Oryzias latipes: one gene and its partner. The protein of the gene in region 1 purifies or fractionates together with the protein of each later gene. This does not show direct contact. Links are inferred from orthologs where the notes say so. Each region holds a gene or a part of one and is shown on either strand. Other genes may lie near its edges. The genes, in order: chek1 and hax1.

Region 1 (4,451 bases):
AAGAAAAAGACAAAAAGATTCTGCAGTCAAACATGAAAAACTGGACTTTGGTGGATGTGTCTCCTGTGAACATTTTGTTTAAATTAGTCTGTGTCCTTTAAGAAAAAAAAAAAATAATTCAAAGATATTGAGGAATTTTTTATTCTTACAGAAACATCTACTCCTCGTTTCCACAAAAACTGTATTACAGTAATTTGAATTAAATTATGCATGATCATAATTTTGAACACATTATTTATCTCATGAATTGAATTTAAAAAAAGAAGAAAATTAAAAATGAAATGCCTGCTTAAAGCCACAAAAGATATATTTTACCTGTGCAAAGTAGACAAAAGAAAACAGCAAGACTTCTCCAGTGGACAGAAGCTTCCATGCTGAACCAGTTAAAAGTAACAGTTTGAAATTTGGGTTGTGTAAATGAAGCTTTTTTTAAGGAGTTATGTAAAAAAAATTCTTTGAACAAAGATCACTCTTTTATTTATTCAGTTTCAAAAGACTGATGCAACGTGAGACTTTTCCCCAACTGCAGTATTTGTCCTTCTTCATGGTCTGATTTAGATCAAGACTAAAGTTCATCTAAAAGAAGGTGAAAGGATTTCAAACAGTTGTATGAAAGTATTAATAAGTTCATGCTTGGAACTTAATGTTGTCCCCTTCTATGAGGAAAATGCAGCTCTACGTGCTGAGGAAACAGCTTTCAAATTTGTATTATTTGCAAATAACAATCCATGTTAATTTTAAACGTGTCAATCCTTCTGTTAAACAACATACAGAAAATACAATTTTGGGGAATTTAGATGGAATTCAGCTTGTGTGAATTGTGCTACATTTGGTAAGTTTCTGCTCATAGCAATTTTACCTTAACATGCTCAGCAGTGAGATGTGGTGAGTGCTGGTGAGGCACTGATGTCATCAGTCAGTTTAACAAATATATTCATATCAATTCAGATTAATTTTAGTTATACAGCACATTTCATGTAAAGAAAACAGCTCAAGGTGCTGTTAATCAAATCAAATAAGGATGCAAAAACACCAATGCAAAAATTAATAAATAAGCCCCTATGCCACAGATTAACTTATTTATACCATTTAATTGGTAACACTTGAAGTGGGTTGTTTAAGATTTCATTTCAACATTTTTGTCAATGTAGGATAGAAAAAAAATCACCAAAGTTTTTATTATTGACTTACTTTCGCTTTAATACAGTTACACATGAAAAAGAACTTTGATAAGTCCATGAAAATGCTTTTAATAACATTATAATTTAGGCGACATTGCACCAGCAAGCAGCACTGGCTGTGGCTCGTAACTGATTTGATGCTAGCACATGCAGATTGTTGAATTCACTCGCACAGCAAATAAAATGAAACAACAATATCACAACGGGTCATCAATTTAAATAGAGCATCTTTGCGACCGTTTGATTGACAGCAAATTAAAAGGAGAAATACTCAGACATGCAAAAATGAACTGATTTTTATTACAACTGTTCTCTTTCATAAGAAAAATGCCAGAAAGACATGTCAAAAACTTTCCTCGGAGGGATACTTATGAGTGGAATGTAATATGTCCTCCAATTCCGGAATGACCCGCGTGGTGGCGGTAATGCACAAAAAAGTGTTTTCCAACAACAGAAGAAGAAGAAACGGAAGTTGTCACTGGGAAAGTTCTTAGCGCCAAATTCGTGAAGCTTTGCTGGTTCTGAACCGAACTGGCTCGATGGATATCTGTGAAAAGGAACAAGAGGAGACAGCAGCCGTGTAGATTGGACTTTTCAGTCTGACCAAACCAGGCTCTCTGAGCCGAGCAGCAGCTGTTGTCCACTTTCAGGACTGGTTCTGTTCTGACCGGCTCTCTCTCTCTGTTCTCCATCCTCATCATCATCATGGCGGTGCCTTTCGTGCAGGACTGGGACGTGGTCCAGACGCTGGGAGAAGGAGCTTATGGAGAGTAGGAACCCTTTTTCTTTTTGGACCCTTCAGAAAGTCTTTTCATGGCGTAGCAGGACCACACGTGTTCATTAGAACCCACACACAACATCTGCACACACATCTGCTGAAGACTAGTAGAGGAGTTAGTGAGCGGGTTTCAGTTTTGGAAGATTTTGACACTTATCCCTTGTGCTATCAAAGGCACGTTAACGCTGGGAGTGGGGTCATCTGGACCCCACAAGTCAAGACAGTGCGCTGAACCTTTTTTTTTCAATGATTTGTGATCTTCACTGGTGTCCATGGATTCCATGAAATCTTTCCACCTTTATCCACCTTTGTCATGGTAGGGAGAACACGTCAATGTAAGGGTGGGGTCATCTGGACCCCATAGCACAAGGGTTATTGATGGATCAAAGCCAAATCTAACTAACAGAAAACTTTCATTGTTGTAAATTAGACATAAAAGTAAAAATCATTGTAAATGTTTTGCCATTAAAATGATTACAAGCATAACATATGATATGCTTAGATTAAAGCGGTCCGAATCTGTTTTTAAATATTTTAGAATAGGACCATGTGGAAAACCCATCAGAAAAAGTTATGTAGAAAGAGTTTTAGTGAGGATTTATCACACGGGAAGAGAGGCAGGAGAAGAACAGCTGTATATGTATTCAGATAAATTATAAAGATGAAAGTGTAATGCAACAAAAAGGATAAGAATCTGACATGAAATTATTATTTACAAAAAAATGTTTTTTTGCAAACACATTTTTAACCAAACTGATTTGTTTTGAATAGAAATTTAATAAATGAAGAGGGAGCAATGCAATTGAGAATTGATTTTATCCTTATTTTTGGTTTGTTTTTGTTCCTACGCTGATCTGGTGTTCAGAGTGAGGCTGCTGGTGAACAGGCAGACGGAGGAGGCGGTGGCGGTAAAGGTGATCGACACGTCACAAGCAGAGGAGTGTGCAGAAAATGTCAAGAAAGAGATCTGCATCCATAAGGTATCCCAGCCACGTCTAAAACAGCTGGTCCCAACCAGGCACTTCTGACACAAATCATCTCTCATTTTTGTTGTTTAAGCAATTTGTTTACAGATTAAAAAAGGAATCTATTGAATAATTTTTGCATTTTTAAAAACCTGAATAAGTACCCATTCTTACTGGTTAATTAAAAAGCTTTGAACTCCCTCTCCGATTGTCTTTTGATCTATTTTCAAAAAATGTCCCTGGTGGTCTTTCAATTACGATTATTCCATTATTAGCCAAAATGAAAAAGAAATGTGTCGTTTTCTAAGACATACAGTTAGGACCATAAATATTTGGACAGAGACACATTTTTTCTAATTTAGTTTCTGTACATTACTACAATTTGAAATAAATCAACTCAGATGCCATTGAAGTGCAGACTTTCAGCTTTTATTTCATGGGTTGAACAAAAAGATTGCATAGAAATGTGAAAAACTAAAACATTTTTTAAACACAATCCCTTCATTTCATGGGCTCGTAAGTAATTGGACAATTGACTTCCATGCTATTGCATGGGCAGGTGTGGGCAATTCCCTTGTTATGTCATTATGAGTGAAGCAGATAAAAGGCCTGGGGTTGATTAGAGGACTCGTGCTTGCATTTTGAAGATTTTGCTGTGAACAGACATGTGGTCAAAGGAGCTCACCATGCAGGTGAAAGGAGCCATCATTACGCTGAGGAAACTGTAGCAGTTCATTAAAAATATACCTCTGAGTTGTGGGCGGAACCGTTGACACGGAACAACCCTGTCCTCACTTCCTGACACCCAGCTTTTTACATGTTATTCCACTAGCTTACAGCCCCTCACATCCTCACCCTAACATTATCGGTGCAACACAAATGGCGAGCAACATTGGACCCATGCAGCCGTACAGTTTCTAGCCAGATACCACCTCGGACGAGGAAGACGAAGACCTACATGGATATATTCATCTACAGTCAGGACCATAAATATTTGGACAGAGACACATTCTTTCTGTACATTACCACAGTGAATTTTAAATAAAACAACTCAGATGCCATTAAAGTGCAGACTTTCAGCTTTTATACCATGGTTTGAACTAAAAGATTTCATAGAATTATGAAAAACTAAAGCATTTTTTAAACACAATCCCTTCATTTCATGGGCTCTTAAGTAATTGGACAAATACAAAGGGAGACATTGTATTTTCTACATTGCAGATACGTTCTTTTTCAAACGGTCTTTTTTTGTGATTCGCAACCATTTGAAAATAAAAATACTCAAAAATACCATTGCAAGCTCAATTTTCTTCATATAGTTTTTTCCATCATGAGAACATGTTGAGAAAACCAGAAACACAATTTTCGTCAGAGTGGGTCTTTGAAATTGTCTGTTCATCTGAAATATTATTTTTTTTGTAGATTCTCAACCACTGCAACATTGTAAGGTTTTTCGGTCATCGGAGAGAAGGAACAACCGTCTATCTCTTCCTAGAATACTGCACTGGAGGGGAGCTGTTTGACCGC
Region 2 (4,094 bases), on another chromosome or scaffold:
CATGTTTACTGACGGTTCTGGTTTATTAGCCAATCAACAGATTTTCTGCGATCCGGGATAAAAATCAAACAGCCAGAGTCAGACTTACAATCAGAACGTAGACCCCCAGACATTCAGCCAGGCACTCCCGGACCAGCTGGTTCTGGATCCGGATCTTCCTCAGGACCGCCTCCATCCCTGAGCGTTCCTCTGGACCCAGGCGTGTTGCCACCCTGCAGGTCGGACCCGGCGAGATCTGCCCCTTCGCCCTGCAGCTGACGTCACACGGAGGCGCTGCCCCCAGGAGGGGGGAGTCACTGACCGCGGAGGCCCCCCTGACAGGCGTGCACGCCCCCCAGGACGCCTGCATGACGGCTTGTTCCACTGGAGGACTTTAGATCCACTCAGGAAAGTGAAAGTTGTTTTTCTGAGTCTGAATCCTTTAGTTTCAAACGTCACAGCCAGAAACAGAATCACAAAAACTATAAATAAATCTGCAGAAAAGAGGAAACGAACCTTCATTCATCCCAAATACATTATTGACAGCTAAAACTAGAACTACTCAGCTTCAGAATCCATGAATCTGTTTTCTGACTCTGATGAAGCAGCAGAACAGGAGGAAAAAGCTTTCCCTCCTGGACCGGATCAGCCTGAACGGGCTTTCTTTCCACCACCTCACCAGTCTGACTGAAAGGTTCTGGAGCCCCCCCCCCTCCCCCCTGTGGGACGGTTCGGATCCGTTTCTGCAGATTGTGATGAGGACTGTGTTCAGGGGAAGAACAGTCCAAACGAAGCAGCTTGTGAATAAATTAGGTCTTTATTGGGTTCGTATCTGTGCGGCGCCAAGACGACGGTAGAAAAATAGATCGTCAGAGTTTCCTCTCCGTCCTGGGATCACAGACGGAGGCCAACTTTGGACAGAAATAACACTTTCTCTCAAACAAGACGGCGTGGATGGATCCAGACGGGTCTGAAGGTTCTGGAGGTTATTTGAAGCCTCCAAAGAACCTGGAGAACAGCGAGTCGTCATCTCGCAGGTCTGAGGAGCCCTGAGGTCCACCTGCAGCGACACAACTGTGAGGTTTGCAGCAGCTGCTAGAATGGTGAGGCGGGGGGGGCGTAGACGTACCTGGCAGCACCGGTCCGGTCTGCCCGGGTTCTTCCAGTCTCCCGGGACCTCCTGAGCGGGTCACGGTGGTCTCCTCGCGTCCCTGACCGTCTCTGACTGTCCGCCTCTCCTCTACAGTCTGACATCAATTATTTTATATGAAAACAAGCTAAAAAACCCAGAAAAGCTGCGTAACGACACCCACCCCATCGGGCCTCAGAACCTTAGAGACCACCACCGACTGGAAGAAGGACCTGCTCCTCGGCTGGTCTGGTTTCTGACCTGAAGGGGGCGCTAAAATCTGATCCAGGCCACCAGAGGACACTGCAGAGTCCAGATCTGGATCAGACCAGAGGGAAGAGTTTTTTAGACAGACAGGGGGGGGGGGTCACACTGCAGAACCGGGTCGGGTCCGTCTCCCACCTCCGTCCCGTCTGAGGTCTTCGTCTGCAGATCTGAGCGGCTCCTGCATCCAAACACAGAGGATGAGAGGGTGAAGGCATCACAGGTCTGAGCAAGAGGTCTCATTTACTTTGGAGAAGGGGGTCCAGCCGTGAAAGGGCGCGTGCGGGGGCCGAGGGGACCCGTGGGGCGGGGGCCGAGGGGACCCGTGGGGCGGGGCCCGGTCCGGGTGTTTGAGCATGAAGTCCCGCAGAGGATTCCCGCCTCTGTCCGGAGCTGCTGGGGGAGGCATGACCCTGGGGAGATCTGCAACACAGAGAGGGGGCGTGTGAAACCAGAACCAGAACCAGAACCAGATTGGTGAGCAGCTCAGACTGACCAAAGTGTCCAGACTCCAAGCGACCCATCTGGGAGAAGATCTCCTCCATCTCCCGGAGAATGTGGCCGAATACCGGGGGCTCCTGGACCCTCATCCCGTCCGGACCAAAACTGAAACCAAACCTGAAGGCGCCATCGAAAGGGTCCTCCTGACCCCCCATGAAGCCATCGTGGTGGAAAACATCTTCATCTTCATCGTCGTCCTCCTCATCGCGGGTCATGGCGTCAAAGAACGGGTCTCTGATGAGGAGGATGAAGCGAGCGGTGAGACCCGGTAGACCGGTACCGGCGAGCGCCGTAACCCTTGTGCTATCCTAGGCACTTTACCGTTGGGAGTTGGGTCATCTAGACCCACTAGACAGTGCTCTGAACCTTTTTTCTTCAATGATTTGTGATCTTCACTGGTGTCCATGGATTACATGAAATCTTTCCACCTTTATCCACCTTTGTCATGGTAGGGGGGACACGTCAATGGAAGGTGGGGGGGGGGGGGGTCATCTAAGACGGCACAAGGGTTAAACTGAAACTAAGAAAATAAAGTGCGCGCGCGCCGCGGGACCCCTTAGGTTTCCTAATCCAGAAGGTTATCTAACAACCTCCGACCCGAAAAACTCACCTTCGACCGTGAAAATTACCTCCAGGAACCCCGAAAAACCCGCGAAACAAATCAAAAACGCTCATTTAGTGACGGTTAGGGCTGAAACCGAACCGGAACCTTTGCCGGACCTTAAACTCTCCGGTCCGAACGGATGTCAACAGTGCCGTAAAGCGTTCGGAATGCCGTAAAGTGTCGTAAAGACGGAGCCGTAGTGAACAAACGTGTGACGCAGAAAGGGATTTAAACCCGAATCTGTCAATTATGAAATAAAAAACGTTAGAATGTTTATGAATATTGTAAAGATAAAAACGTTTCCACCACGTAGGAAAAAAACCAAAACACGAATAAAGTCATAAAAGAAAAACAATAAAACAAACCCGTAAACTTATGAACTCCTTATTCTACACGGAAAAGACTTTTTAGAATGCTACATTTAGTTTTTCCAAACGTTTCAACAAAAAAATCCCAAATTAACTAAGAATATTTTGTAGGCAACTTGAGAGTAATAAAAAATATCTAAATAAGACGATTGAGGTATTTAAACCAACTAGTTCACAAACAAATGCAGAGATTTGATACAAGCAAAATTAATAAAATCATTTTAGGTTTATCATCATCTTGTGTTAAATCATATAATCCACCCATCATTTTTGTTTATAATGTTGGTTTTCTAAATACAAAAACCTTAATCAAGTTTATTTTGTAGTCATGTGCAAAATGGTTTTTAAACAGAAAAAAACAATGATGGACATTTGATGAGACTGAATCCCAGACGAGTTCAGCAAAGCAGATCATTCAGCCTCCTGTCGTCCATCATCTCTGCTGGAAGGAGAGAGGATGAACCCCCCAGCAGAGAAAAGCCTCCAGAATAGAGACAGAGTCACTGCAGGGGATTAAAAACATCATCCTGTCCCACTTAATTCACCAATAATCATCCTTTTCTTGATCAAACTGGTTTTAGGAAAGAAATCTGCTGATGTGAAATGAATCCAGGATTCTGTTAAATTCACAAACCCCAAAAAAGTGAAAAACATTCAAAAATGATGAAAACGTCTTTGTTTATTTACTTAATATTTATATATTTTTACAAAATAAAAAAAATATGAAAACAAAGCTAACAAGTCTGCAAGGATTTGAGAAGGAAAGAAAAAGCCATGGACAAACGGGGACTACAGTACTTGTGTTTTTATATGTACAAGACTAGTTTTTCTCCATTTAGATTTTGTTTTAAAACGCACAGTACAAAAAAAAATAAAAATAAATCACTGAAAATGAAACAAAACCCAAAATACAATTCTGTCCATCAGTATTCAACGCTGCAGGGTTTCCTTTTATGTTAGAAGACAGGAGGAGGAGGAGGAGGAGGAAGGACGGGAATCCGTCTGTCCTTCCGTCCGGATGCGGTTAGGATTCATGGGAGGAGTTACTGTACAAACGCCGCATGCCCAACCGCCCTGAGCCCAAACGTTTCTGATCACAATCCCCACGTGTTCAAACACGCACGCCGTCACATGACGCGTTGTCCCCACAGCCTCTGTATATAGAATAGATCTAGATTTGGTAAAAAATAAACTTCACGACTCTACCAACTGCTTCTTCAAACTTAAAAATGACATAAAAGGGGGGGAA

Evidence for each region.
Region 2: the proteins of chek1 (region 1) and hax1 purify together in Homo sapiens (affinity purification with mass spectrometry; 3 studies listed by BioGRID and IntAct, with this or other methods). This does not show direct contact. The link is inferred for Oryzias latipes from reciprocal best matches to the Homo sapiens genes CHEK1 and HAX1.

What each region holds. Positions count from the first base shown.
Region 1 is NC_019872.2:13,136,750-13,141,200, reverse strand, and holds the start of chek1 (serine/threonine-protein kinase Chk1), read left to right. Parts: upstream 1-1,630; 5' UTR 1,631-1,886; coding exon 1,887-1,951; intron 1,952-2,824; coding exon 2,825-2,939; intron 2,940-4,346; coding exon 4,347-4,451. UniProt on the Homo sapiens protein: Serine/threonine-protein kinase which is required for checkpoint-mediated cell cycle arrest and activation of DNA repair in response to the presence of DNA damage or unreplicated DNA.
Region 2 is NC_019869.2:791,021-795,114, forward strand, and holds hax1 (HCLS1-associated protein X-1), read right to left. Parts: upstream 2,674-4,094; 5' UTR 2,549-2,673; coding exon 2,484-2,548; intron 2,108-2,483; coding exon 1,869-2,107; intron 1,796-1,868; coding exon 1,620-1,795; intron 1,554-1,619; coding exon 1,511-1,553; intron 1,427-1,510; coding exon 1,293-1,426; intron 1,227-1,292; coding exon 1,109-1,226; intron 1,040-1,108; coding exon 966-1,039; 3' UTR 778-965; downstream 1-777. Other genes in the region: aquaporin-10, read right to left, coding at 89-349. UniProt on the Homo sapiens protein: Recruits the Arp2/3 complex to the cell cortex and regulates reorganization of the cortical actin cytoskeleton via its interaction with KCNC3 and the Arp2/3 complex. Slows down the rate of inactivation of KCNC3 channels. Promotes GNA13-mediated cell migration.